5 linked regions of the Xenopus tropicalis genome follow. The protein of the gene in region 4 purifies or fractionates together with the protein of the main gene of each other region. This does not show direct contact. Links are inferred from orthologs where the notes say so. Each region holds a gene or a part of one and is shown on either strand. Other genes may lie near its edges. The genes, in order: cops4, hsp90ab1, cdc37, stk11 and pip4k2a.

Region 1 (6,083 bases), about 16 Mb from region 4:
ACCAAACTAGTGATGTGCGAGTTAGGAAAAAATCAACACCCATCTCCAACTAACTAGCATTACTAGCTTACTGTAGTCACTATTGTTCAGTATGCCCAGTTTATTGCAATTTGCTGTGTTTATAAACAAGAGTAGCCTTCAGGATTGTTAAACATTAACAGTCTCTCTCTAAAGATATCTCCACCTAAAAAAGGTTTGTTTTTGTGTAGAATGATTCAAAGCTGCATAGTATCCCAATAATCAGCAAAAGTTACATTCTATAGAGCAGTTAAAGTGTTTTATACTTACTATTAGAATGGATATATAAACCAATTAAGCTACTCATAATTGTGACTTACATTGTAAATAACTTTGCACCATTATGCACTGGTAAAACAGCACCAAACTAGTGATGTGCGAGTTAGGAAAAAATCAACACCCATCTCCAACTAACTAGCATTACTAGCTTACTGTAGTCACTATTGTTCAGTATGCCCAGTTTATTGCAATTTGCTGTGTTTATAAACAAGAGTAGCCTTCAGGATTGTTAAACATTAACAGTCTCTCTCTAAAGATATCTCCACCTAAAAAAGGTTTGTTTTTGTGTAGAATGATTCAAAGCTGCATAGTATCCCAATAATCAGCAAAAGTTACATTCTATAGAGCAGTTAAAGTGTTTTATACTTACTATTAGAATGGATATATAAACCAATTAAGCTACTCATAATTGTGACTTACATTGTAAATAACTTTGCACCATTATGCACTGGTAAAACAGCACCAAACTAGTGATGTGCGAGTTAGGAAAAAATCAACACCCATCTCCAACTAACTAGCATTACTAGCTTACTGTAGTCACTATTGTTCAGTATGCCCAGTTTATTGCAATTTGCTGTGTTTATAAACAAGAGTAGCCTTCAGGATTGTTAAACATTAACAGTCTCTCTCTAAAGATATCTCCACCTAAAAAAGGTTTGTTTTTGTGTAGAATGATTCAAAGCTGCATAGTATCCCAATAATCAGCAAAAGTTACATTCTATAGAGCAGTTAAAGTGTTTTATACTTACTATTAGAATGGATATATAAACCAATTAAGCTACTCATAATTGTGACTTACATTGTAAATAACTTTGCACCATTATGCACTGGTAAAACAGCACCAAACTAGTGATGTGCGAGTTAGGAAAAAATCAACACCCATCTCCAACTAACTAGCATTACTAGCTTACTGTAGTCACTATTGTTCAGTATGCCCAGTTTATTGCAATTTGCTGTGTTTATAAACAAGAGTAGCCTTCAGGATTGTTAAACATTAACAGTCTCTCTCTAAAGATAACTCCACCTAAAAAAGGTTTGTTTTTGTGTAGAATGATTCAAAGCTGCATAGTATCCCAAGTCTTCCATGATGCAAAATGCTGTTTTTGTGTGGAGATCTTCTAGAAATACCAAACGTTCTAAAGTACGATTTGTGCCAGTAAATTCTTGTCCAGGCATCAAAGAGACTGCAAAATATTACACTACACTATACTACAGAAACCAGAAAAATAAAGCTAATAAAATCTACCAACATGAATCCCCTTTGAAGTACAGAGCTAAACAAATATCGAACATTTTGTTCCAGTCATTAATTTGCTGAGATATCGTGCTACATGTATTGTGAGCTATATGTATAAGCAACATAAACAAACGAGAGCGTCAAGTACATATTGCTTTGATGCTTGCATCGATTTAATCCGCGGCAATTACCTTTTATGCCTGCCATGAAGCTGAGCACACAGGTCCTGCAGCAGAAGAGATTTAAGCGAATATTCTGCAGACAGGAGCGAAAGAATTTCTGGACCTGTTCAGAACCCACACAAATAAACCAGGGGACAACCTCTCAGAAAAATGAATGGAGCGATTTTCGCATTGTAGCGGCTAGTTCCTATCCTCGGAAGGGACCTTCGTGACGTCACGGTCATGTAGTCACAACCCATCTTTTTCCGCCCACCATTCACTTCCTGTCTGAGCGCCTAACCTATCGTAGCGCAGGTCCTATACTAAGCGGTCACGTGACTGCAACACCGGAATCATTTCGCTATAGTTCCGAGTGGTTTCAGTGTGTCCGAGCAGAAAGCAAGATGGCAGCCTCTGTCAGACAAGACCTTACACAACTGATGAATTCTAGCGGATCGCATAAGGATCTCGCCGGAAAGTGAGTTTGCCGCTAACAGAACTTTTGGGACACATTTACGTTAGCGCGTAGGAACTAATAAGTGTGCATATGCTTGTGGTTAGTGCTCTGAGGGGGCTTTAGTGCCAGTCAAAAATTCTATTGGGCAGAAATGTTCAAATGAAAGAAAGGAAATGATTATATTGTGTGTAGATGAGTGATGTTACCGCTTATTGAATTGTTATCTGCGAGCCAATGTATGGCTTAGCATGGATAGAAAAGGTGAACAAGTAAATATAAACCAGATCTGACATTATAAATGTAAAATCAGTCAAGGAGTTCCGTGATGAGGTGTCTGGTATTTATGATTTCAATTTCATTTAATTGTTTTTTTCAAGTTCAATAAAACATTTCTACTGCACAGATTAGATGTTCCTACTGTACATTTGCAGCCACATGAGGAAAACAATTCCCCCAGTAGAAGATATACTAACAAACTGCAGCTATTACAGTCTTTACAGATCTCCCACTCCTCATTCATTATATCTCCTCCTCATACCTATCACAATTTTTTGCCTTTAATCCCCTATTTCTATGTCTTACATTTCACCCAGCCATTCATACTTTCTTCTTCTTATGTGTCGTTTAACTTTTCATAATTATACTTATTTACACCTTTAGGATAATTTGCATTCGCACTTTCCATCCTATCCTGTTATTTTTTAAATATCACTTTATTCATAAATTATTTAAAAAAAGAAGATAAAGGCAAACATAAGCAAATGTAATTAATATTCATATTAATGTAAACCATTAATATTTGTTTATCTACATAAATTAGTATATTTAGATAACTGTCAGATATGAGTGTTAGTGTGATGAACAATTGGAAGGGGGAATAAGCACCTAGTGGACGGTAGTTGCACCAAGTAGCTAAAAGTATATTGTGGAAATAAAAACCTAAATTGAAACTGAAACCTTATAGAGTGACCAGGATTTTGAATTCAAGCTTTACTTGACAGGAGTTGCAAAAACACAGTCCAAGAAGCCAAAAATATGTTTTCCTATATTATCCCCCATTGTTTTTCTAAGTGCTGGTTAATTTATCTTTCATGTTTTATAGGTACCGACAAATATTAGATAAAGCACTCCAACTTCCTGGCCCAGAACAACTTGAAGCCTTGAAAGCTTTTGTTGAAGCAAGTATGTTTGTATTTTTGGGTGTATAAAGGGTTGCACTATTGGGGAAAATGGGTTCAGTAATTATCTGACATAGATTATCTGACTTACATTATCTATGATAATATATAATATATATCATATATTATATATGATAATAGGAAATGTGAGTGCAAGTGGTGTGTGTGTGCAGGCAGTGGAAACCCAAAGATTCACATATATGAGGAATAAGAATTTTTCACAACATAATGGCAGTGTCTACCACCAGGGGTGTCAAAATGTCTCCTCTGCAACTGTTTTGAATGACTGTTTTGAGCCTTCCTTATTCTTGTGCAAGTTGAATAAGTAGGGCTTTTGCTGAAAATATTTTTTGCCCGTTGTGTAAATCACAAATAATATATAGTTTTTGTGTTTTGTTTTTTTGATAACCAGGGTAAACTGGGAAACTAAAGCAAAGGTCAAGTATGTTCAGCAAAAGCCCTATTTATTGAAGTTAGATTGAACAAGGGGGTATACTACCTCTTTTAGTTGTAAACTGTTGTGCAAAACATTGTTTCTGTATTTCACCTACTGTAACCCATATTTACCACTCAAATCAATCATGTTTGCAGTTAAAGGGGTTACAACTTTCAACAGAGCTATCTCACTCTACTCTTGGCATGTGCAGCTAACTTGCCACTATCAAAACTTTATTAGAAGATGCTGCAGTAGTTTTCTTTATGTATGCAGTATTAGGCCTGAATGTGATTATTGGGCAGAAAGATTCTAATTCTTAGACAGGATTTTGCAATAACCCGGGCCCCTTGCCCTGGAAAACGACTTTGCAATTAATGTTTATTGTTTGATATAATATTTTAATATTGCTTTGGCCTATAAAAGTATGGTAGTGTGTGCTGGGATTTGATTTAAAGGAGGCATATCATGTAAAAATAAAGAATGTACCAATGCATAATACTCCTCTAAATATAGAAGGATTGGTCTTAAAAAAGCTTTGGACTGATTTATTGAAAAATTCCTCCATTCCCAGGCTGTACAGGGGGCCGGCGGCACTCAGCACACTGCGCTGTATGATAGGAACCAGTCAGCAGCTAGGCTGACCTGATAGACAACCAAAGCCTTTACTTGTTTACTTTACTATCTTGAGTAAAATGCATGATATTTTTTTGCAGTGGTAAATGAAAATGTCAGTTTGGTGATTTCACGTCAGCTGCTCACTGATTTCTGTACCCACCTCCCCAGCCTGCCTGATGGCATAGCTAAGGAAATCTACCACTTCACCTTGGAGAAGATACAACCGAGAGTAATTTCATTTGAAGAACAGGTCAGAGGAGGGGTCTAATGTTTTGGCTGGGGGAAGTCTGTAAAATTAGAGGCCTCAATGAACCAAACATATAATGCAGTATCTTTAAAAGGGTAGTATACCCATTTTTTTAAGTAGTATACTGAAGAGAGGCATATGCTAAACATACTTTTTGCCTGTTGCTGTAATTAAGAAATATCTGTCATTAATCAAGTTAATTGTAAGCGCCTCTGTTAAAGTAATTGTTTTACCAAGGTCATAAATTTAGGGCATTTTTCCAAGCTGACACTAGGCACCTTTAATACGTTTGTTTTCAAATACAGGTTCAAAATAGAATCTTTATGGTTCTTGATTTTGTTCCAGAAGCATGAGATTTTTGGCATCTATAAAGGGGTAATATATGTTATATAAGGACCAGTAAAATTAAAAATTATAGTTTTATATGCATTTAAATATTATGTGCTGTTATCCTGCAATGGTAAAAATTGCTTGTTTGCTTCAGAAACTATTGCTATTAAATATATAAATATGCAGTGTAGCCATGGGGAAAGCCACTCAAGCTACCAGGGCAAAAAGGCAAAGGTTTACGCAGCAGGTAAACTATACTATCTGTAGAATACAGGTATGGGGCCTTTTTTCCAGAATGCCCGGGACCTGGGGTTTTCCGGATAAGGGATCTTTCTGTAATTTGGATCTCCAACTTAAATCTGCTAAAAAATCATTTAAACATTAAATAAACCCAATAGGCTTGTTTTGCCACCAATAAGGATTAATTATATCTTAGTTGGGATCAAGTACAAGGTACTGTTTTATTATTACAGAGAAAAAGGAAATATTTTTAAAAAAATGTGAATTATTTCCTCAAAATGGAGTCTATGGGAGATGACCTTTCTGTAATTCGGAACTTTCTGGATAAATAGGTCCCATACCTGTACAACTGGTTTAATTTTTACACAGGAAGTATCTCTACAGGACTATAAAATGACCGCTTTTGCCAATAATTGTAGGTGTTCAATCAGCAGATACAAAGTTTAAAGTCAAGGCCTAATAATGACAATAAGTAAGTAAAAAGATGCCTTCTAAGTGCCTTAAAATTCAATTATCCATTCTGTACCCACAAAATGTTCTAGGATGCCTTTCTTAATAAATATATATATAATCCTCCAGAGCAAGGATCCCAAACCTTTTTTTATCTGTGAGCCACATTCAAATGTAAAAAGAGTTAGGGAGCAACACGAGCATGAAAAATGTTTCTGGGGATGCCATATAAGGGCTATTATCGGCTATTTGGTAGCCCCTATGTGAACTGACAGCCTAATTGAGAGACTCTGTTCGGCAGTACAGATGTTTTTTATGCCACTAAGACTTTCCTCCAAGCCAGGAACTTAAAGGGGGTCTAAAGTCAAAAAATAAAATTCCTTTTAAGGCTCCTTACTTAAGAAACCTATCGCCAATAAACTTTCATTAAAAAAT
Region 2 (5,386 bases), on a different chromosome or scaffold from region 4:
GGTTTCTATTCTGCGTACTTGGTGGCAGAGAAGGTCTTGGTCATCACCAAACACAACGATGATGAACAGTACGCGTGGGAATCCTCCGCCGGCGGCTCTTTCACCGTGAAGACTGACCATGGTGAGTTTGTGTTCAATTGGACCAGAATTCCCCTAAAGGCCTGTAAGTTGGCACCACTAACCCCAAACTGGTATTTCCTGCTAGGTGAGCCCATTGGCCGTGGTACCAAAGTCATCCTCTACCTGAAGGAAGATCAGACAGAGTACCTGGAGGAGAAACGTGTCAAGGAAACCGTGAAGAAACACTCGCAGTTCATTGGCTACCCAATCACCCTCTATGTGAGTATGGCCGGCCAGCTGGGGGCAGGGCCCTGGGTCTGATGTACGATTGGCTCACTATTTGTCTCCCCGACAGCTGGAGAAGGAGAGGGAAAAGGAGATCAGCGACGATGAGGCAGAGGAGGAGAAAGAGGAAGAAAAGAAGGAAGAGGAGGGAGAGAACGACAAACCTAAAATAGAGGACGTGGGCTCCGATGAGGAAGAGGAGGGGAAGGACAAGAAGAAAAAGACAAAGAAGATCAAGGAGAAGTACATCGACCAGGAGGAGCTGAACAAAACCAAGCCCATCTGGACCCGTAACCCAGACGACATCACCCAGGAAGAGTACGGAGAGTTCTACAAGAGCCTGACCAATGACTGGGAGGATCACTTGGCTGTGAAGGTAAGAAGAAAAAAAAACCCCATAATGCACCGCTTGTTCAGCTCTGGGTTCCACACTCTCTCCTGAGCGCTAACACCCCCTGTTCTGCTTCCCCCCAGCACTTCTCTGTGGAGGGGCAACTGGAGTTCCGCGCTCTGCTCTTCATTCCCCGCCGCGCCCCCTTTGATCTGTTTGAGAACAAGAAGAAGAAGAACAACATCAAGCTGTACGTGCGCCGCGTCTTCATCATGGATAGCTGCGACGAGCTGATCCCAGAGTATCTGAGTAAGTACTGGCCCGAAGCTTAGTGGGCCCCCTCCTTCCCCCCCCCCCCATAGGATGGGATGCTGGGTAAAGCCTTCCAATAGTCTGGCATTAGATGCTTCATTAACAGTCTAGCATGTAGATCTTTTGCTTGATGTGGTGACACAGGCAGGCAGGGCCCCACGCACACCCATAGGCACACAGGCAGGCAGGTAAGTGTGTGGGGGGGCAGGGGCAATTAATTGCCTATTGTAGTATTTCAGCCCAAGAATCCTTGTCTCTTACGCACAGGCCTCTTGGTGCACTCGCGTATCTATAAGGGGAAGACACACGGAGCTACTAGTAGCAGCTACAGAAACAGACAATGTTGATCATTTGCTGATAATTGTCTCTACGTGTGTCTAGCAGAAGGAATTCTCAGTATTGTCTATGGCAGGGGATTTGGTAGCTGCTACTAAGCTGCGCACACACACACGTAGGCACACAGGGCCCCACAGATGGATCCTGAATGTAGGACTTTTGGGCAGTCTCTCCCTGTGCCGCCTCTAACTCTTTTCTCTCTTCCAGACTTCATTCGCGGGGTGGTGGATTCTGAGGATCTGCCCTTGAACATTTCCCGTGAGATGCTGCAGCAGAGCAAGATCCTGAAGGTGATCCGCAAGAACATTGTCAAGAAGTGCCTGGAGCTCTTCACCGAGCTGGCCGAGGACAAGGAGAACTACAAGAAGTTTTACGAGGCTTTCTCCAAGAACCTGAAGGTGAGCAGTGCAGGAGGGTGCCCTGGGCTGTAGTGGGCGGAGCTCTTGTTCGTCCCAGTGGCTCTTGCTGACCTACCTCTCCTTGCAGCTCGGCATCCACGAGGATTCTACCAACCGCAAGAAGCTGTCTGAGCTCCTCAGGTACCACACTTCCCAGACAGGCGACGAGATGGCCTCCCTAACAGAGTATGTGTCCCGTATGAAGGAGAACCAGAAAAGCATCTACTACATAACTGGTAAGTGGCCCTTGCAGCAAGATATCCCATTATGGGCTCCCCTGGGAGAGAGGGGTATTCCTCTTCCCCTGGGGTCACTTCTCCGCAGCTCGCTTAGAGGAAGAGTCTGACACGTGACCCCTCTGTTCTGTCTCGCAGGTGAGAGCAAGGACCAGGTGGCCAACTCCGCCTTCGTGGAGCGGGTGAGGAAGCGTGGCTTCGAGGTGGTCTACATGACTGAGCCCATCGACGAGTACTGCGTGCAGCAGCTGAAGGAGTTCGACGGGAAGACGCTGGTGTCTGTGACCAAGGAGGGCCTGGAGCTGCCAGAGGACGAGGAAGAGAAGAAGATGATGGAAGAGAACAAGACCAAATTTGAGAGTTTGTGCAAACTGATGAAGGAAATTCTGGACAAGAAAGTAGAGAAGGTGAGGATGGGGCAGAAGGAAGTAATGTTGCCCCTCCCCTAGTATAGCCTTGTCCTGCTAACCCCCAACCTGCCCCTTGTTACCCCGCAGGTCACCGTGTCCAACAGACTCGTCTCCTCTCCCTGCTGTATCGTCACCAGCACCTACGGCTGGACCGCCAACATGGAGCGCATCATGAAAGCGCAAGCTCTGCGGGACAATTCCACCATGGGCTACATGATGGCTAAGAAGCACTTGGAGATCAACCCCGAGCACCCCATCGTGGAGACCCTGAGGCAGAAAGCGGAAACCGACAAGAACGACAAAGCAGTGAAGGACCTGGTGGTGCTGCTCTTCGAGACCGCGCTGCTGTCATCCGGCTTCTCCCTGGACGACCCCCAGACGCACTCAAACAGGATCTACAGGATGATCAAGCTGGGTCTGGGTAGGTGTCGCTGAGCATTATGGGAATGGCTACCAGAATCCTTCTGCCATAAAGGGGATTTGTATGTAGGGTCCTGAAACCACCACATTTAGGGTTAACTTCCCCTTGTCTCTCTCAGGTATTGATGATGACGATGCAACAGTGGAGGAAACTTCCCCCTCGGTGGCAGACGAGATCCCACCCCTAGAGGGCGACGAAGATGCTTCTCGCATGGAGGAAGTCGACTAATCGGTTTGCTGCCCGCTCGTCCTGCCCCCTCCCACCCGCGTATGTGCACTGTCTGTAACTCGGTAGGGGGGCGACTTCTCCCTTGGACTCTAAATATCACATGATACTGGGGATGGACTTCCCTCCTTATAGAATATATTTGGGGGAGCTTCAAGACTGATGGCTGCTGACTTTAACCCTTTCCTCTGCACCCCCCTTGTTGTGTTCCAGTCTGAGCAGTTAGTTATGTAAGTTATTGTAGCAGTATGGCAGCTAGCTTGGCTTGAGGTAGCCCTGAGTTAGTGGCCCGCTGTTAGCCAGCTGCTGGGGGGGGGGGTCTGTTTGACTCTCTCAATGCACCTTACAGGCCCCCCCTCTAATCCTACCCTCTGCCACTATTGTAATGGGCGTGTCCCTCTGTGCCCCCCCTGAGGCACGGGGGGTACTTACTGGGAAGCTTTAGAGACCCCCCTGCTGCCTTCTCCCATTCACTTGCATGGGGGGGGCGATTGAATGTGCTGGTGTTTGCAAATAGAAACGCCAGGCCAGTCTGGGGGGGTGAGGTACTTCTGCCCAATGCTACCTCAATCTGTAGCACCCCCAAATCTGCTGAGTGGTAGCCCCCATCTCTCTGACTGGAATCTCGTGCCCCCGCCCCCAGGATGTCTTGAATGCTGAGACCCCACCCCCATCCTACACATCTCTCTATCGAGAGCCTCAATACGGAACTTTATTTTATTTTTTGTTGTTGTAAAGTTGAGAAATGTTGCGCAAAATAAAGATCTTTTTACAGTGAAACAGTTTGTCTCCTGTTTATGTGCTGCCGACTGCACCGGATACAATGCTGTGTTACAGGGCTGTTTCCCCAACTATAAACCTTATGTGCAGTAGTTACAGCCTTGGATTTCTATAAGGCTTGGGATACTGGCATGATATTTATGGGACACTTTGTATCTCTAACACTGTTACACAGCAAATAATTCCCTCTGTCATTTATCCTTTTATTCTTCAACCAACAAATGTATTTGTAGCTGTAATATTGGTGTGTAGGCGCCATCTCAGTGCCTTGTGCCCGAGTCTGAGCTTTCAGCCAGCGCTACACATTAGAACTGCTTTCAGCTAACCTATTGTTTCTCCTACTCCCATGTAACTGGAGGAGTCCCAAGCCGGACTTGGATTTCTTACTATTGAGTGCTATTCTGATACCTACTGGGAGCTGCTATCTTGCTCCCTTCCCATTGTTCTGCTGATCGGCTGCTGGGGGGGAGGGGGATATCACTCCAACTTGCAGCGCAGCAGTAAAGTGTGCCTGAAGTTTATCAGAGCACAGCTCCTTGTTACAGCCAGGAGAGGGTGCTGTTCTGAGCATGATTCAGCCTGGCTGCCCCTGCTCATATGAAAATGATAATGCCCCTCCCTGTGCCTTGTTGCCCAAGGCCATTATGTTTGTGCTGCTGGTTTCTTCTTGCCAAGTCCATAAAGCCCTTAGGGTGGGTGTTGTAGGAGGGGCCACTGGTAAAGGCTTAAATGACCATCTCTGGGGGTTGGGGGGGGTTGTACCAAAGAGCAAGGTGGGAGTTGTAGTTCCTTAGAAGTATGTAAGGGTGGTGCTGTCTTGTTCTATTGGGGGTCCCCTTATTGCAGCACAACTGTAACACTGTGTGGGAGCAGTGGGTGGCGCTGTTGCTCCCTGATGTTCCTAACTCCGCCCCATATATTTATATGCAGAGATGCTGCCCCACCCCCCCAGGGGCTTCTATGCCCGGCTGGGCTAATCAGCAATTCCTAGAAATCCGTGCTGCAGCCCGCACTGGTGTATGTGCCCAATACCCCCTCTGAGTATCAGGAAAGGAACTTGCCCCAGAGTGGGGAGCAGAATCAGATCTCTGGCCCTTGCCGGCCGCACTGACTTATGGGATTTGTGGTCCTTGTATCTTTTCCTCCTTTCCTGTTGCCTTTTGGCTGCCGGAGGCTTCTGGGAGCTGTAATTTGTATGGATTTTTATTAAAGGGAAAGTTGCGTTCTGGGGGAAGGAGGGCCACCAAACCCACTGCCAGTCACTTATCTGCCCAAATGTGGGGCAAATAGAGGAATCCCTTACTATAAAGGAGGGAGCTGCCCTATCGATTGCAGGATATTTCAGGGGGAAGGAATTATGCAGATTCCTGTATGAAGCCCGTTGTTTTTGACCCAATATAATGATTGTCTGCCACAGAGCCAGGGTTCCTCCCACCCCTAGGCCCTAGCCAATGAGCAGTGAGCACAATTGCCCTAGGGGCTCAGTAAAACAGTGGGCACTGGAAGCCTATTAGCCACTATCTCTATTATTCAGCACCATTCTGTACCACATGGGGGCCCTCCAGCCTCATCTCCCAGCCTTTGTACCTGCC
Region 3 (6,308 bases), on a different chromosome or scaffold from region 4:
ACAAAACAGAAGACCAGGAACCCTGTTACTTGGCCAAACAACTAAAACAGAGACAGAAATGAATTCAAGATGTTACAGCTTAAAGGAACAGTAACACTAAAAAATGAAAGAGCTTTAAAGTAATAAATATATAATGCACTGTTGCCCTGCACTGGTAAAACTGGTGTGTTTGCTACAGTAACACTACTATAATTTATAGAGCTGGGCGGTATGACCAAAAATTTATATCACGGTATTTTTCAAAATTATATCGGTGTCACGGTATTTGACGGTATTTTTTTTTTCCATGCATGATTAGGTGTTAACCCCATTTCCTAATAAATTAGAGAATAATTACTGCAGTATCGAAAATCAGAGTCAGGCAAGCGAAGGATCGGCAACAGAAAGTCGTAAGGTAAATCAGGCAGGCTTAGTTTCCCAGGCAAGGCCGCAGACAACATAGCACAGGAGGAGGCGTTTGATAGCTTTAAATACCCCCCACGCATGCACAGAACTGGTGCTGTCAGCGCGTCGCGGACGTGCACGCTTTGACATGTACGTGCGCAAGGAGGCGTGCGAGACCAGCCCACACGGGTGAGTACCCTGACACCCCGGTATTGCGGTATCTGAAAAATGAATATAGTTTTAAAAAAAAAAACACCGGTATTCGGTATTAAGCGGTATATCGCCCAGCCCTAATAATTTATATAATAAGCTGCTGTGTAGCCATGGGGGCAGCCATTCAAGCTGGAAAAAAGGAGAAAAGACACAGGTTACATAGCAGATAACAGATAAGTTCTGTAGAATACAATAGTGTTTTATCTGTTATCTGCTATGTGCCTGTGCCTTTTCTCCTTTGAACGGCTGCCTCCATGGCTACAGAGCAGCTTATTTATAGAAATTATAGTAGACTTTCTGAAGTAAACACACAACTTTTACCAGTGCAGGGCAGCAGCACATTATATTTTAGTTTACACTTTCATTTTTTGGTGTTACTGTTCCTTTAAAACATTTTCAATGAGGAAAGGAGAGAGAATCTTCCCCCCTATGTGGCATTACCTGGTGACGCCATCGGAAAAGACTGGCAGTGTCAATGTTGGGATGAGTGTCATCTTCGTCATCAGAAACTTCAATGTGGTCCCACACGCTATAATCCACCATTGTGTAGCAGAGATCAGACAAACAAGAGATTCACTGAAATGAAGGGCATAAAGAAAGACTTGTTTACAAGAATTCAAACATATAAAAGGTCTATATTACTACTTGCTACAGAAGCAGCTCCTGTGTGTCTAGAAAGCCTGATGTATCCATAAGGCCCTAAGCACGATCCTCTTATGTCTTAAGTGTTCATAATTATCTCCAAAATACCTCGACAGAGCCAATGCAATTCCAGCAGTTACTAGTACCTACTGTCATAACTGCTTCTGCCTCATCACTATCAAGGACTGAATCTAGGGCCAAACGGTAATGGAGCCTTTCTAATCTTTTTGTCTCTACAAAATGCATTGAAGGACTATCTGTCCTGTGTTGAATTTCCCCCACTAAAAGCTAATACAGAGGTCTTCAAGCTCCCCCTAACTGGACTTCAGGCTGGGCCCCCTTAGCTCATAACAAGGTTACAGATATATAGAAACATTGGGGTAACAGTCACCCTGCTATAGTTCCAGGGGTACCCAGGGCACAAATAAGCACTCACCCCAAATCTCCCCTAACTGGCCTTCAGGCTGGGCCCCCTTAGCCCATAACAAGGTTACAGATATATAGAAACACTGGGGTAACAGTCACCCTGCTATAGTTCCAGGGGTACCCAGGGCACAAATAAGCACTCACCCCAAATCCCCCCCCTAACTGGCCTTCAGGCTGGGCCCCCTTAGCCCATAACAAGGCTACAGATATATAGAAACATTGGGGTAACAGTCACCCTGCTATAGTTCCAGGGGTACCCAGGGCACAAATAAGCACTCACCCCAAATCCCCCCCTAACTGGCCTTCAGGCTGGGCCCCCTTAGCCCATAACAAGGTTACAGATATATAGAAACATTGGGGTAACAGTCACCCCGCTATAGTTCCAGGGGTACCCAGGGCACAAATAAGCACTCACCCAAATCCCCCCCTAACTGGCCTTCAGGCTGGGCCCCCTTAGCCATAACAAGGTTACAGATATATAGAAACATTGGGGTAACAGTCACCCTGCTATAGTTCCAGGGGTACCCAGGGCACAAATAAGCACTCACCCCAAATCCCCCCCTAACTGGCCTTCAGGCTGGGCCCCCTTAGCCCATAACAAGGTTACAGATATATAGAAACATTGGGGTAACAGTCACCCTGCTATAGTTCCAGGGGTACCCAGGGCACAAATAAGCACTCACCCCAAATCCCCCCCTAACTGGCCTTCAGGCTGGGCCCCCTTAGCCCATAACAAGGTTACAGATATATAGAAACATTGGGGTAACAGTCACCCTGCTATAGTTCCAGGGGTACCCAGGGCACAAATAAGCACTCACCCCAAATCCCCCCCTAACTGGCCTTCAGGCTGGGCCCCCTTAGCCCATAACAAGGTTACAGATATATAGAAATATTGGGGTAACAGTCACCCCACTATAGTTCCAGGGGTACCCAGGGCACAAATAAGCACTCACCCCAAATCCCCCCCTAACTGGCCTTCAGGCTGGGCCCCCTTAGCCCATAACAAGGTTACAGATATATAGAAACATTGGGGTAACAGTCACCCTGCTATAGTTCCAGGGGTACCCAGGGCACAAATAAGCACTCACCCCAAATCCCCCCTAACTGGCCTTCAGGCTGGGCCCCCTTAGCCCATAACAAGGTTACAGATATATAGAAACATTGGGTAACAGTCACCCTGCTATAGTTCCAGGGGTACCCAGGGCACAAATAAGCACTCACCCCAAATCCCCCCCTAACTGGCCTTCAGGCTGGGCCCCCTTAGCCCATAACAAGGTTACAGATATATAGAAACATTGGGGTAACAGTCACCCTGCTATAGTTCCAGGGGTACCCAGGGCACAAATAAGCACTCACCCCAAATCCCCCCCTAACTGGGGGATATATAAAGTTACTTTTCTGTTATGGTGAGTAAATTTCCTGGTATAATTTTGTCTCTACATCCTTCCTGGCAAATCAAAAAAACAACAGTAATGTAATATTTGATGGTTACCCCCCCCCCCCCCCAGATGTGACAGTGCGACCCCCCAACTCCTGCTTTACTTGCCACATGTCAGGGACTAGAATCAGAAACATGGCAGGGATATGGGGGGGGGGGGGGTAGATGAAAATAATATACTGTGCCCCAGCCATTAATGATGATAAAGCCTGGCTCCCAGATATTGTTAGACTACAACTCCCAGTATACTTTAAGTCTGGAGTATATGTTCAATAATTGTGAGAGTTGTAGTACAGCTACCCGGGCAAGAACAGCGCTCACTATACCAGGGAGTATTGCTTAATGCCTTAAACTGTTGCCCAAACAGCCTGTCCGTATAGGTAAATAGGATATAGCAGCACCGCAGGCAGGTATAAGAGAAATAGCCAGCTGTGGGAAGAAGCCATTACCTGGCACACCAGGGTGCAGCTGCAGGCCCCCTCGCAAGCTTCTGGAAAGCTCCTGCACTCTCTGCCTCAGCCTGCCCACTCCATGACATCACTTCCTTAACCTCGACGCGGCTGATTTGCCCTTACGCTAGAGTCTTCGGGCCGACTTCCTTTTTTGCCTATTCCATTCTCCTTGCGTCACTTCCGCCTTTGCTAGACAGGCAGGTTTGTTCTTGCTGCCGTAGGGAGTGGTTTGTGGAGGGGAATTGGAGATAGAAACGGCTTTATAGGATGGTATGCGAAGGGTTTTTCCACAATCAACATTATAGGCGGCCCAAGGGGGAGGAAAACATGAAACAACTGCTTATATTGTGAAAGGGGAACACCATCCGGAATCTGTTTTATTTTAACTTAATTCTAGGCAGCTTTCTGGTATACATACATTAAAAAGAAAAATAAATCATTTTGATATTTTGTGATTTTTGTTCAAAGCAGCGTCTGCCTGGCTGTTACTGTTGTTTGCGCTGCTGGTTCTGACTCCTGAAACAATGTAGCAAAACCAGAGAACAGAAAGGGATATACAAATACTGCTTGTCGTTACAATTGTAAATATAAATCACTTTGAAGCAATATATAATTGGTTTCCATTAGGTATTGGTTGAGGGTCAGTTACCAAATGTGCCTAATTGCCAGGCAAGCAGATCTGTGCTTTAAGGTGGCCATACACGTGCCGATTTTAGCGGCCGATATCGGTCCCTTAAGGTGTCCATACACGTGAAGATCCTACGGGTGGGTGATATCGGGGAACATGTAGGCAAATTTGATCGTTTGGCCCTGGGGCCAATCGAATTATAATGGCAATGGGGCAGTTGGTTCGGGGACTGCATCAACGAGCCGATGCGTTCCCCGATCCAACTAAATCTTTTAACCTGCCCGATCAATATGTGGCCAATGTGAGTCTAGATATCGGTCGGGCGTGCTCCTCGTTCCTGCCCCTACACGGGCCAATAAGCTTCCGAAACAGTCCAAGGGACCGATATTGGCAGCTACAATCGGCCCGTGTATGGGCACCTTTTGACCGATTCGGCAGCTTATTGGCCCGTGTAGGGGCACGAACGACGGGCCTGCATGACCGACATCTGGCCTGAAATCGGGCAGGTTAAAAAATTTTGACGGATCTGGGACCGCATCGGCTCGTTGATGCAGTCCCCAAAATGACTTGCCTATACCCGTCATTATAATTCCGTAGTTTGGCCCCAGGGCCAAATGACCAAATTAGCCTTCTTCAGGCATAAAAACAAGTGCATTGAACTTGATTAAATAGTCTCACACTTCATTAGCACACACAATTGTGCAATTAGCATATTTAACCTTTAAACAATCTGTAAAAGCCATTTCAAAGTGTAAAAAAGCATAATTTTATAATAACTCTTCTACTAGTTTAAAGCCCAGGTGGGGTTCCAATGTACAGCCAAGGTACAGATTTGGGCTATTTTTTAGCGCCTTGGCGGGTTTGTAGTTTGGAAACTAGCCAAAGTTTTTCCCTCTAGTGTGGCTGTCCCACTGCATGCTGGGTAATGTAGTTTGTATCTAACAATTAGCCTACAGCTAGGATTAATATAAAACTACAATCAATACCCAGCATGCAGTTGGGCAGTATAGACAGAGGCTCCATTTTGTATTCTTTTTTGCTCTTTCAGACTCAACCTGCATGTTCTGCAACCTGCTCCCTGCTCTATAGGGTATGTGATTGTACCATTACTTTCTATTGGGATGTGGGGGCAGTTCTGCAGTTGGTCCTTAAGCTTTAACTCTCAGGATACCTTGGGGCTTCTGAGAGTTGTAGTTCAACGCACCCATATATGTTTCAAGTCTGGGGTTAATGCAACATTCGGAATCTATTTCTGTAGTGACAGACTACTACTGGACTGGGCACAGAGGGCAGGGAATTATCAGCCATCCCAGTAACTGGGTAGTGATTATACACTTTAAAAAGGCAGGTTTACCCATATGTTTTTTTATTTTTTTAGAATTTTTTTCATTGCACATATTGGGTTATTTTCAGAGTGGCTTTTGGCTATTTTTGGGCTGGTTTTAGAACTGACTTTGGCTAGTTTGGAAAAATAAATCTGGCAACCCTGGCCCCTACATACAGTCTACAAAGACCCATCAAGGTGGTCACACCCGCCGGGAGTGTTAAAATTTGTCTGAATCATCTGGCAGGCCCTTTCAATGACTTCATACATGGGCCAATATATTACCAGCTGTGTCCGGAATGGCAGAATTGGCAGCTTTTATTGGCCAATGTGTGGCCAGCTGTGTGGTTTCTGGAACGGGGTGCAGTAATCACAATTACATAGCTGTAACCATGTCCACTAAGCATGCTATGTACGGTAGGTGATGTACTTTATAATGTGTTTTAAAGTGCCTACATATATTTTGCAGCCTTTTTCAGCAAAAGGGGAGAACACACAGCGCCGCTCAAAAGAACCAAAACAATGACAAACAATAGAATAGGAATTACCAGGTCAGAGTCACCACAAAGATCAGGTATTTCATTTTAATTTTAAAGGCCAATATACTGCCTTTTTCTGAAGGAATAATGAACAGACCTGGCAATGAACATGATTTTCGTCTATTGTTTTAATTAGGAAATAGTAATGTATTTTATTTATTGTACTACGCTGCATATATTGGGTCCATTTTAATTTACCTTATTTATTAATGACTTAGGGGAGATTATTTATATATTAAAATGCCTACCTGTATATTCATTG
Region 4 (5,547 bases):
TTTTCAGTTTCTTTGCCATACATCTTTTCTTTAACTATTGCTATACGTATATGGTGATGGAATATTGTGTTTGTGGGATGCAGGAGATGCTGGACAGTGTGCAGGAAAAACACTTTCCTGTATTTCAAGCCCATGGGTATGTATAGTATTTCTGTTTGTAAAGCACAATTTGTTAATCTGTATTAAATATATTTCATTTTTTAATTATTTTCCAAAATTGTTTTCTCTACTCTTTGGAATGCCTCCATTATTTGCCCACTATGACTTTTTTTATAATATGCATTTTAATCATTTCTTCTCTTTGCTTTAATTTCTTGCTTTTCTAGCATATAGCCACCCTAAATCCCCTCTTCTGCCAGTTCTTCTTTTGGACCATAATTACATGCATTTATGATATTTTTTATGCTCTTGACTTGTTGGAATTTACTTCACCCTGCCTCTACTAGATTGCTTCGCTGAGTCATGTTACTTATGCTTGCTTCTACCTGACTCTCATAGCCAGGCAGCCTTTTGAGTTAATGTTAACTGATTCCTGTGCTTTGCTAGTATCCTGTTTTCTCTTATAAGCTCTTATGTTCTGTTGTATTGTGATCTTGTGTTGCGATCAGTGATTCTGATGTGATCTTGCAGCATTATTTCATTTGCTTTACCTTTTTTTGCCATTGTTTTGATACTTTGGCATTTAGTTGGTATTTTCAGACTGTTTTCAAGATTGTAGTGGTATTGTAGCATATTTCTGCATGTTTTCTCAAGTTTTTATCCACTAGTTTTTGCCTTCCCTTGTGTTCTTGAGATGTCTAGGTGTGTGAATTGTGTACTACCTGAACCTTTTTAAAGGGGTTAATTAACTTCAAATTAGCCTTTGGTACAAGCCTCCAAGTCAGGACACTTTAAAAAATGAAAATAAAAAAAAGAATGGGATTGTCTGCAAATAATTTAAACTCTAGATTTAGTTGAAAATATTACAAAGAACACATAGCAATTGTAAGACTGAGAAATGTTATTGTTTTCTGAAAGATAGAAATGCTTATTTTGATGCCAGCAACAAGCAGGTTGTATAATGCTGGGTCTTTTAGAAGTAAAGATGGGGAGAGACACTCCACTCTATAAAACACTGCACAGGCAAATATTGCAAACATTTAATAATGTTTCTCAACATAAAATTGCAAAGAATTTGGGGAATTCAGTATCTACATACACCATCTATAGTACACAATATCATTAAAAGATTCAGAGATTCCAAAGAATTCTCTGTTGGCAAGGGATAAGGCAAATGCTATTGGATGGGCGTGAACCATGGGCCCTTAGGCATCCCTGCATTAAAAACTGGTATGACTCTGTAGTGCATGGACTGCATTACTGCATCAGTAATTTCTAAATGTTTTTATTTTCTTCTAAAATGAAAAGAAAAACAATATATTAACACGATCCAGAAACATCACCATTCCAGATGGACTGAGGCAAAGTGGAAAACTATCTTGTCTGATAAATCAAAATTTTAATTTTTTTTTTGGATATCATGGACACCATGTCCTCTGGCACAGTTCAAAAGGCAGCATCCGTGATATTATGGGGGATGAATTAGTCCACATGGCATAGGCAGCCTGCACATCTGGGAAGTACCATTAATGGTGAATGATATATACAGGTTTTGAAGCAAAATATGCTGCCATCCAGACAACATCTTTTTTAGGGAAAGGACTTGCTTATTTCAGCAATACAATGCCAAACCACATTCTGTACCTATTAAAAAGCATGGCATAATTAAATGAAAAATACAACAAAGGTGACCTGAACTGTTGAGCAGTTCCAGTATTTTAAAAAAATATTTTCCTGGCATTAAATTAAAATGAGCATATATATTTCAGGATTAAAAAGTTCTCTGTTTCAGCATTTGCTATGTTGTCTTTGTACTACTGAAAATCATTAGATTCTGGTTTTATTGACGTATTACACGGTGTCCCAACTTTTTTTTTTTTTTTTTTGGAAATCGGCTTGTATGATAAATTACGACAGTTTGAAACCTTTTAAAAAAAGGTTTATTTTGTGGAATTGTTACATAGTTACATAGGGTTGAAAAAAGACTAGAGTCCATCAAGTTCAACCCTTCCAAGTAAACCCAGCACACACAATCTATACACTCACATACATAAACTATATATACACAACTACTAATACTAACTGTAGATTTTACTATCACAATAGCCTTGGATGCTATGCTTGTTCAAGAACTCATCCAGGCCCCTCTTAAAGGCATTAACAGAGTCTGCCATTACAACATCACTAGAAAGGACATTCCACAACCTCACTGCCCTCACCGTGAAAAAACACCTACGCTGCTTCAAATGGAAGCTCTGTTTCTCTAATCTAAAGGGGTGGCCTCTGGTGCATTGATCGTTTTTATGGGAAAAAAGAACAACCCCTATCTGCCTATAATCCCCTCTAATGTTTTTGTACAGAGTAATCATGTCCCCTTACAAGCACCTCTTTTCCAGAGAAAACAACCCCAACCATGACAGTCTAACCTCATAGCTTAAATATTCCATCCCCTTTACCAGTTTAGTTGCACGTCTCTGCACTCTCTCCTTGCTCATTAATATCCTTCTTAAGGACTGGAGGCCAAAACTGCACTGCATACTCAAGGTGAGTCCTTACCAGGGACCTATAAAGATGCAAAGTTATGTTTTCATCCCTTGAGTCAATGCCCTTTTTGTACAAGACAGCACTTTATTCGCTTTAGTAGCCACAGAATGACACTGCCTGGAATTAGACAACTTGTTATCTACAAAAAGCCCTTCTCCATTAAAGATACCCCCAATACACTACCATTCAGTAGATAGTTCACGTTTATATTATTTCTACCAAAGTACATAACTTTGCACTTGTCAACATTGAACCTAATTTTCCAGTTTGCTGCCCAATTTTGTCAAATCGCTCTGCAAAGTGGCAGCATCCTGCATGGAACTTATAGTTTTGCACAGTTTTGTGTCATCAGCAAAAATAGAAACAGTACTGTCTATGCCCACCTCCAGGTCATTAATAAACAAGTTAAAAAGCAAAGGACCAAGGACTGACCCCAGCGGTACTCCACACAACAACAACACTGGTCCAATTAGAAAATGTTCCATTTACCACCACTCTTTGTAATCTATCCTTCAGCCAGTTCTCTATCCAATTACAAATATTATGTTCAAGGCCAATATTCCTCAATTTGATCATTAACCCTCTGTGAGGTACTGTATCAAACACAAAGTCCGAGTGGATGACATCAACTGCCATTCCAGCATCGAGGTTCCTGCTCACCTCCTCATAAAAGGCGATTAAATTAGTCTGGCAAGATCTGTTACACTTACGATTAACCTTTTTATTCAGCAGCTTTCCAGTTTGACATTTCAACCCTGATTGCCAGGGATGAATATACCTTAGCAATAAGGTAGTGGTTTGAATGCCAGACTGAAGATTGTGAACCTGAGTAGATATATAAGTAATACAAAGTAACAGCAACAATACAGTTAAAGGCTCACAGAGCAATCTTTTTGACTGTTCTGTAAAGTTGCTAAGAATATGTTATTCTAAAACATACTAAAAGTTACCTTAAAGTTGAACTAGCCTTTTTAACACAATGAACTCTTTTGATCCACAGTTATTTTTGCCAACTCATTGATGGTCTGGAGTACCTTCACAGTCAGGGAATTGTTCACAAAGACATTAAACCAGGGAATTTGCTGCTAACAACAGATGGGACACTCAAAATCTCAGACTTGGGGGTGGCAGAGGTATGTAGCTGTGGATTATTTATAAGAGATCTTAAACATTTGGCCATTTGACTTTTTTTTTTTTCCTTTTGCAGGCTTTGCACCCGTTTGCTGAAGGTGATACTTGTAGGACCAGCCAAGGATCTCCAGCTTTTCAGCCTCCAGAGATTGCCAATGGCCTGGATACCTTCTCAGGATTCAAAGTGGACATCTGGTCAGCAGGAGTAACGCTGTGAGTATCTACATTCACCACTGCACTTACTGTGGACGACAGCCATGTTGACACCTGATTTGTTAGAAAATACTATTTGCTTCAGCATGTAGCTATGGACTATTTTAATTAAAACAAAGCTGGTTAAGGGGCCAAACTGATCATTTTGAGATGCCATTTTGATAGAAGATTGTTCAATCCCATCAAATTTCTGTCTGTCTGTCTGGACTCAAAATCCTGTCTACTGAAGCATTACATTGGCACCAGTAGAAGGCCACCACAGAAATTACCATATTTTTGTGTAACTTTCAATTTCTTTATGCTCTAGTCACTTGGCCCATGGGTTGCATATGTTAATAAGTGTCTAAAGGTGCCCATACACCTGTTTGGCGACTCCTACGGGTGGGCGATATCGGGAGAATCCAGGCTAAGGCAAAGTCGGTCCGGGGACAGCATCAACGAGCCGATGTGGTCCCCGATCTGACTAGATTTTCTAACCTGCCCAATTGAGATCTGGCCGATTTCAGGCCAGATATCGGTTGGGCAGGCCGTCTGTAGTCCCCATACACGGGCCGATTAGCTGCCGAATCTAAGGGACCGATACCGGCAGCTAGAATCGCCCTGTGTATGGGGACCTTAGCTATTTAAATATGTCGCCAGCTATAGATCTTATCTCAGCACTTTCATTAAAAAAAGATAAGAAATTTGTATTTCTTGAATATTTCATTTATATGCAACAGAACACACTCTATAAACACATACTGTTTCCCTGCATAGGTATAATATTACCACAGGACTGTATCCATTCGAGGGGGACAATATATATAAATTGTTTGAAAACATTGGAAAGGGAGACTACTCCATCCCAGAGGAATGTGGACCCTTGCTGTCTGACTTGTTAAGAGGTGAGAAATAACGCAGGTCAGATTTAAAAGCGGAACAGTTATGTCTCATGTGGCCCCCTTCAATTTGCTGACTAAAAGGATAGAGCGATGCAAGAGAGGACATTGTGTTCTAGCTATTATGTTAGCTATCTGTTCACTCCAGCCTCTATATATTATGTTTTTGGCTAACTACATTGGAAACATTTGTTTATTTTGTTCAGCCTATCTCTAGTTTGATTTTTACACTAAACTGTTCCTTTTAGGGTAAGAACCCAGGGATTGAGTCGCCAGTGATTGATCTCTGCTTTCCGCTCCGAAAAGACTTTCCACCGGCAACAATAGGAGTCGTTGGTGGAAAGCCCTTCACATCTCTTCATTTTCCAATGTTGAGCAGACTTGCCTGCAGGAAGAAAATTTGCGAGATTTCGGATTACTGAAGAGATGTGAAGTGCTTTCCACCGGTGACTCCAGTTGTTGCTGCGGAAAGCCTTTTTGGAGCAGTTTGTTGTCCGTGATAGATCTCTATCAACTGCTCAACCACTCCGTGAGTTCTTACCCTAAAATGAAAGTTTTACCCAACTTGTTATGTATGCAGTAAGCATACCCTCACCCCATATAGGTTTAAAATCAAACATTTTACTTTTTAAGGGTGATGGCGCTTGGGGTGTTTATGCTTTCACTAAATCTACAGAGCTGA
Region 5 (6,191 bases), on a different chromosome or scaffold from region 4:
ATGAAATGCCAGGGACTATTTTGAACCTCAGTCCAGCCTGGCCACTTGTACTGTATTTGCCCTTTCAGCCTGTGGGTCAATTTCTCGAACACTATAGTGATACAGGTACCACCTTCTCCAGGCAGGTGCTAATTCTAGGGCTCCCTTGAGTCCATGCACCCTGTACAAACAAAAGGGAGACCTGCAAACGTTATTGGGCCTGAAATTCTGAAAAAAAGGCTGCATATGGGGTACAGTAAATGTAAATGATGCTAATTTTTTGCACTTTGCAAGCTGATAGCTAAATGAGGTCCCAAGTAATGTAGATATTATTAGACCTAATGTAGGATGACTATTATCATTTTTTCATAATGACCTTAAAATGATAATATTATAGGGCCCTTTTTAGAGCTGTCAACCTCATTCTTTTAAACTTTGGGGGACCTGCGGCGTGCTGCGTTAGCCGAAAGTGACGTCAGTACATGTGCACACATTCCAGAAGTGACGTCACAAGCGTGCACAATTGACATCTGAAGCCAGCCAAAAAATTCACCAAAGGCTGAATGTGCATGATTGCCTGTAATTTAACGGAGAACTGTGGGAGATGGAGGAAAAATTAGGAGAATGCTATCAATGGCCAGGAGACCAGGGAAGACAACACCCGAAAAAGTAGGGGAGGGGTTGACAGCTCCACTGTCTTCTGACCAAATGGGATCTGAGCCCCAAAAAGTCATACACTACTCTAAAGGCGGCTGCATGCCCAAGACTAATGCACAGGCCCAAACAGTCCTCCACCAGTCACTTAAATAGCAGCTGTCTATGGCAGCCCCTCTGGCATTTGCCAGAAGCCACAGATGGCCAGTCGGGCCTGCAGTGTGCCCACAGTGCCTGTTGTTTGACATATGCAGCTATTTACGGTGTGTGGTTCCAGTTTTATTGGCCCATTCCCCTAAACATAACCTTATTATGTGGCCCTCCATTTGCATTGCCAGTTGGATAATGTAGATAGTCATTCGCCCACAGCTCTTGCCTTGGCCCTAAAGCTGGCCATACACGTGGCGATCTGACGATGTTTCGTACGACCATCGGTCGTAAGATCCGCCACACACCATTCAGGGCTGAATCGGCAGGTAAGGAGGTAGATACAATAGGATTTCTACCTCCTTCTGCCGATTCAGCTCTGAAGGGAGAATTTTGGTCAGGCGCCTTCTATGGCACCCGATCAAAATTTTCCAACTGGTCCGATCGGTGAGTCGGCCGATATCAGCAGCTTCCTGCGATATCGGTCGACTCGCTGACATACCATACACGCACCGATTATCGGACGAAATGAGGTTTCGTATGATAATATCGGTGCTTGTATGGCCACCTTAACCCGTCCTTCAGCCAATATGGCTTATGTCAGCCAAGTTCGGAATACTATCTATGGCAGCGGTTCTCAACCTGTGGGTCGGGACCCCTTTGGGGGTTCAAGGACCCTTTCACAGGGGTTGCCGAAGACCATTGGAAAACACATATTTCCCACGGTCTTAGGAATAATTTTATGGTTGGGGGTCACCACAACATGAGGGAAAGGGTCCAGGCATTAGGTTGAGAACCACTGATCTATGGATAACTGTGCATGTGAGGGAAAACACATTCAAGCACTTGGGAACTCGCCACTGTTACTATATTTTAGGATAGCAGAAAACACAAGACTTTTGGGGTTCAAAAGACATGTGCGTCAATACAATTCGATTTTTAAAACGTGTAAACTCGGGGCAAGAAGGTACTCTCTCTCTCACGCCCTCCCGTACGTATTCTGCCCAGGGCACTGGCTGATGAAACGAAAAATCCTCCGTGCCCCGGCGCCTTTCCATGTGAGGCAGGGGCAGGGCCCGACCGCCCCTCCTTTTATTCTTTCCTCCTCCTCCGAGACTGTCAGTCAAGCAGCAGAAGCTGCAACCGGCCGGAAGCGCTGGGAAAGATGTGGCCAGCAGCAGCAGCAGCAGCCAGAGACGCGGTAGGGGCTGGAGGATAGGGGAAGCGCTGTCAGTAGGACATAGAGGAGTGAGTGGTGCAGATGCCGGTGAGAAGCGGTTGGAGGGGAGGGAGCGGGCTGTGTGTGTGCATGGCAGCAGCAGGGAGGGCTCTGGCTGCAGGAGAGGATGTGAGCTGGAAATGCTGCAGGGTGCCAGTGTGCTGCCTCTAAATGCCGGGGCGCTACTCTGTCCATGCCCGTCTGTCCATGCCCGTCTGTCCATCTCTGCTGCTACCCGCTATTGGATTCTTTGGGGGTTTTCTGTTCATTTTGGAAGAATGTCTCTGCTTGTACATTTATTAAGTGGGGATCGTTTTCTTTCTTCACACGTAACCCTTATCTCCCAGTTCTGCTATTTCAGATGCCTAGACACGTCCTGCCCAAGAGCTTCTAGTGGGGAATGCTGGGAGTTGTAGTTTAATATCATTTGAATAGCTAAAATCTGTGCCATTTATTTGTTTATTTGCAGTTGGAGCAGCTGCTGCAGTGTCTGTCCATCCTTCGCTGCCACCCAGCAGAGCTGAGATAGATGGATAGGATACGATCCAGTCCAGGAAACAGGAGGGAGGCGCATTAAATCAGACCCCTGTGCCTGGCAGGAGACAGAGGAAAGACCAGAAGGGGCCAGATCTGAATTGGATGTGGGAGAAAAGAGATAGAGGGAAACGCCTACAGAGCCAGAAGATCTCTCTCTCTGTCTCGCACACTCTCTCACACACACAGACACACACACACTTCTCCTCTGAGCAGTCTTTCCTTTCCGGGGCTGGCTATAGAAAGCCCTGCCTGAAGATTGCACTCTGGGCTGTGCTTCTCTTTTCAACTTCTCCTATATGCCTGTGAAGAAAACTTTCCTGGATCTTGCCATTTTTTTGGATGTGCCTATAGTGTTGATAGATCAAAAAATCCAATTTCCCCTTCTAAAGGACAAGTGGGAGGAATTTCTGCAAGGGGACCGCTATGGCTGCTGTCAGCACCGCAATCTCCACCATGGCCAGTAAGACCAAGACTAAGAAAAAACATTTTGTGGCCCAGAAAGTCAAATTGTTCCGAGCCAGCGATCCTTTGCTGAGCGTCCTGATGTGGGGAGTGAACCACTCGGTAAGGGAATATGACTGAGTGGTCCAATGGCTAATTGTTAGCTCTCACTGTCGGTGTCCTTTGCTATTGATTTTATGGTTGCTGATGTTAGGACATAAGGGTATGTGACCTGTGAAGGTATGATGCCTGGCTGCTTTTTTTTTATGATGTGGCTCTCTGTGATGAATTAAAAGAGGTATCTGATCTGCAGCCTTACAGTTGATGTGAAACTACAACTCCCAGAATTCCTTAATTGCCAGATTTTGGGATTTGTATTTCCACGGTAGTGTTGCTAGTCTTGTCTATAAAAAGGTCATGATTTTCTGTTGCGTATTCTGTAGTCCTGTGCCATTTTATGGGATGTTGACTCTTATTGGTTTTGCCTCATAATTATGCAGCCCATAAGATATAAGAGCTGCGGGTCTCCATGCTGCAGCCTTGGCTAGTTTAGGTTACAGCAGTGTTTATTAACCATCACCAACCATGGATTTGTATGAAGCTGCTTGATTTTTACTTGCCCCTAGGCAGTGCATCAGTGAACAAAGGCAAACCGGGCTGCTTGTGTTCCCCTTTATCTAATAATTTGCCCACTTGCACAGGTTTGCCTACAGCTCCGTGATGCAGGGCTTTTGATCTGCGGAGAGTTGTCGGCTGATAACAATATTTATTTGGCTTATTGTTGTCCTTACCTTGGTTTTAGCCTGATGCTCATCTCTGTACTCTGTAGATGGGAGGGTTTGAGGAAGCTTTTAAGCAAAATAATTTGTTTAATGGAAAGATAAAATAATAGGTCAAGGATTGCCCACTCTGCCAGTGAACTGTGTGCGTGCATGTTTATGTGTATACACATAATATCACACATGAACAAGTTTATGGCTGATGATGGCGTGGTATTGCCATTGCTGATGTGGTCAAAACAGCCCGAGTGCCATAGGTCTAGTACAAACTTGTCCCTCCAGCAGTTTTAAAATTATTTCCCCATTTATACTAATCCTGTAGTTCTAGAACAGTTGGAGGGCCAAGGTCTCTGCTAGCTTGGCATCTTGTTGAACTGTAGAGATATCACTGAGGGCAAACCTTTATCATCACTTTACACTTGAGAAACAAAGAGGTTATGCAGCAGCTGCATCCCTTTACACTTTATAACAGGATTCTCACTGAATTAATGACAGGTGGTACCTATGGGTTTAAACTGCCATTCTCTTCCAGGAATAAAGACCATCTTCCCCTGTTTACATTACTGCATTATACTGGCGGAGTGAGTGGTGCTGTATCAACTCCCCCCCCCCCCATGCACTGGAAACTGGAACTCCTGTGCTATATTTGGCTTCTAAAATATGGCTTAGAGATTCCCTGTTGCATTGCTTGGATGTTTGTATTGTGATCCCTCAGCCAGGGATAAACAGATTTCATAGGAGATGTATCTTCCCAGTTCTAGCATTAGTAAAGGAGAGATGAAGCTTGAATGGTTGGTAGTGTGCCCGCGCTTCAGTCTGCCTGGCAGGACATCTTTTGTCTCTCTGGGTTATGAATAGATCTGACTTCTAACTTGCACTAAAATCTTACTGCATTCACGGCAGTGCCATTGACTCCAGGACTCCTGTGGAGTTCCCTCCTATGCTTCGCTCCTCCGAGCCTTGGCCGATCCCGGAGTGTCACCCGTGTCATTTTAATCTGATTAGTAGATAGAGAGAAATATGATCGCTGCTTGTTGATGGCAGGCCCATGAAAGTTTAAATATCTCTGTGGGTCTTTGCCCGTGCTGTGACTTATTAGGGGACTTAATGTTATTGGAAAATTCAACTACAAAGCGGTTGGAGGACTCATTAAATGAGGCAGATGTTGCTGCCATTCAGCAAATGTAATTATGGCATGTTTTCCGTTGCATTATCTTAAATTAAGAAATAGCATGCTGGAGTACTTTAGCACCATGAGCATTGGCACACTGCGTGATCTGTACTCTACCAGCTGTTTTACCAGCATTATTTGGGAGTATTATAACATGTGTGTGCTGTGACTGCCAAATGCATAAGTTCATATATAACAAAACTACAAACTTACCAGCTAAGGCTCCTGGGAGTTGTATTACAGCACATTCCTATTTCTATTAATGATATGGAACACAATATTATTGGCAGTGTTTTTTCATTATTGTGTGCATATTGTTAACCTATCTATCCTGCCTGTTTCCAGCTAGTTGATGGTCTGGGTCGCTCACCCTAGCAAAAGAAATCGCAAAGATCCTGAGGCTTTTATTTTGAGCTCACTCCTGTTCACCATTTTGACTTTAAGGGCAATGACGATTGTCATTGACACTTTAAATTACCTTTTGATCTGGAAGAATAAAGATTGCCACACATAAAACATGTTACATGCAGCAATCTGGTGTAATTGTGGGAAAATACAGAAGAAGCTAATTTTTCAGGTGATTACCGTTCCCTGTTTGTCATTACCCTTAACCAGCTCTCTGGTTGCTTTGGTAATTAAGCCCTAGCAACAAATATAATATGAGGGGAAACTGTCAGACCGCAACCTTTAACTCCTCGTGGCAGTTTTTGTTTTGGGGAAAAAATGCTTCAGCATTTTAGGTTGATGACACAAATGGGGAACGTGGGGAACTTTGTTATGCGTGGGAAATTGCGCTCCCCGCAGGCATCAAAGCTCCTGACAATACTTTGTACCAGGATGAATCGAAATCACTGATGAATCGAAAATGTCTTTGTCTGCATTTGCGTGATTACTAAAGTAAGATGGCCATACAAGGGTGAACGAAAGCTGCCGACTGGGTCCCTTCAGATCGATTTGGCAACTTATTGGCCTGTGTATGGGGCATCCCGAAGGGCCTGCACCTGCTATATCTGGCTAACAATGAGCCATATATTAATCAGGCTGGTTTAAAAATCCCACCAGAAAAGGAACGCTACAGCACATTGATGCTTTTTTTTTTTTTTTGTCTGACAGATCTTCATAGGTCCCAGTGGCTCCTAGGGCCAACAATTTAATCAAACTTGCATTTGAATCAAATGAGTCTCCAGCCGCTTTAACATATTATACTTTATTTTTAAAAAGTCCCATTATAACTACAATGCGGTATAGATAAGGCACAAAGATC

Evidence for each region.
Region 1: the proteins of stk11 (region 4) and cops4 purify together in Homo sapiens (affinity purification with mass spectrometry; 4 studies listed by BioGRID and IntAct, with this or other methods). This does not show direct contact. The link is inferred for Xenopus tropicalis from reciprocal best matches to the Homo sapiens genes STK11 and COPS4.
Region 2: the proteins of stk11 (region 4) and hsp90ab1 purify together in Homo sapiens (affinity purification with mass spectrometry; 3 studies listed by BioGRID and IntAct, counting the BioPlex papers as one, with this or other methods). This does not show direct contact. The link is inferred for Xenopus tropicalis from reciprocal best matches to the Homo sapiens genes STK11 and HSP90AB1.
Region 3: the proteins of stk11 (region 4) and cdc37 purify together in Homo sapiens (affinity purification with mass spectrometry; 8 studies listed by BioGRID and IntAct, with this or other methods). This does not show direct contact. The link is inferred for Xenopus tropicalis from reciprocal best matches to the Homo sapiens genes STK11 and CDC37.
Region 5: the proteins of stk11 (region 4) and pip4k2a purify together in Homo sapiens (affinity purification with mass spectrometry; 3 studies listed by BioGRID and IntAct, counting the BioPlex papers as one, with this or other methods). This does not show direct contact. The link is inferred for Xenopus tropicalis from reciprocal best matches to the Homo sapiens genes STK11 and PIP4K2A.

The regions. Positions count from the first base shown.
Region 1 is NC_030677.2:83,709,316-83,715,398, reverse strand, and holds the start of cops4 (COP9 signalosome complex subunit 4), read left to right. Parts: upstream 1-2,082; 5' UTR 2,083-2,099; coding exon 2,100-2,173; intron 2,174-3,254; coding exon 3,255-3,334; intron 3,335-4,479; coding exon 4,480-4,631; intron 4,632-6,083. Other genes in the region: leprotl1 (leptin receptor overlapping transcript-like 1), read right to left, coding at 1,726-1,741. UniProt on the Homo sapiens protein: Component of the COP9 signalosome complex (CSN), a complex involved in various cellular and developmental processes.
Region 2 is NC_030681.2:2,230,524-2,235,909, reverse strand, and holds the end of hsp90ab1 (heat shock protein HSP 90-beta), read left to right. Parts: coding exon 1-121; intron 122-205; coding exon 206-339; intron 340-415; coding exon 416-721; intron 722-819; coding exon 820-985; intron 986-1,531; coding exon 1,532-1,722; intron 1,723-1,810; coding exon 1,811-1,958; intron 1,959-2,096; coding exon 2,097-2,365; intron 2,366-2,455; coding exon 2,456-2,789; intron 2,790-2,907; coding exon 2,908-3,017; 3' UTR 3,018-3,794; downstream 3,795-5,386. UniProt on the Homo sapiens protein: Molecular chaperone that promotes the maturation, structural maintenance and proper regulation of specific target proteins involved for instance in cell cycle control and signal transduction. Undergoes a functional cycle linked to its ATPase activity.
Region 3 is NC_030679.2:137,666,358-137,672,665, forward strand, and holds the start of cdc37 (hsp90 co-chaperone Cdc37), read right to left. Parts: upstream 3,575-6,308; 5' UTR 3,553-3,574; intron 1,174-3,552; 5' UTR 1,141-1,173; coding exon 1,039-1,140; intron 1-1,038. UniProt on the Homo sapiens protein: Co-chaperone that binds to numerous kinases and promotes their interaction with the Hsp90 complex, resulting in stabilization and promotion of their activity. Inhibits HSP90AA1 ATPase activity.
Region 4 is NC_030677.2:100,081,037-100,086,583, reverse strand, and holds part of stk11 (serine/threonine-protein kinase STK11), read left to right. Parts: intron 1-46; coding exon 47-136; intron 137-3,643; coding exon 3,644-3,776; intron 3,777-3,850; coding exon 3,851-3,987; intron 3,988-4,743; coding exon 4,744-4,871; intron 4,872-5,547. UniProt on the Homo sapiens protein: Tumor suppressor serine/threonine-protein kinase that controls the activity of AMP-activated protein kinase (AMPK) family members, thereby playing a role in various processes such as cell metabolism, cell polarity, apoptosis and DNA damage response.
Region 5 is NC_030682.2:26,603,581-26,609,771, forward strand, and holds the start of pip4k2a (phosphatidylinositol 5-phosphate 4-kinase type-2 alpha), read left to right. Parts: upstream 1-2,683; 5' UTR 2,684-2,959; coding exon 2,960-3,100; intron 3,101-6,191. UniProt on the Homo sapiens protein: Catalyzes the phosphorylation of phosphatidylinositol 5-phosphate (PtdIns5P) on the fourth hydroxyl of the myo-inositol ring, to form phosphatidylinositol 4,5-bisphosphate (PtdIns(4,5)P2). Has both ATP- and GTP-dependent kinase activities.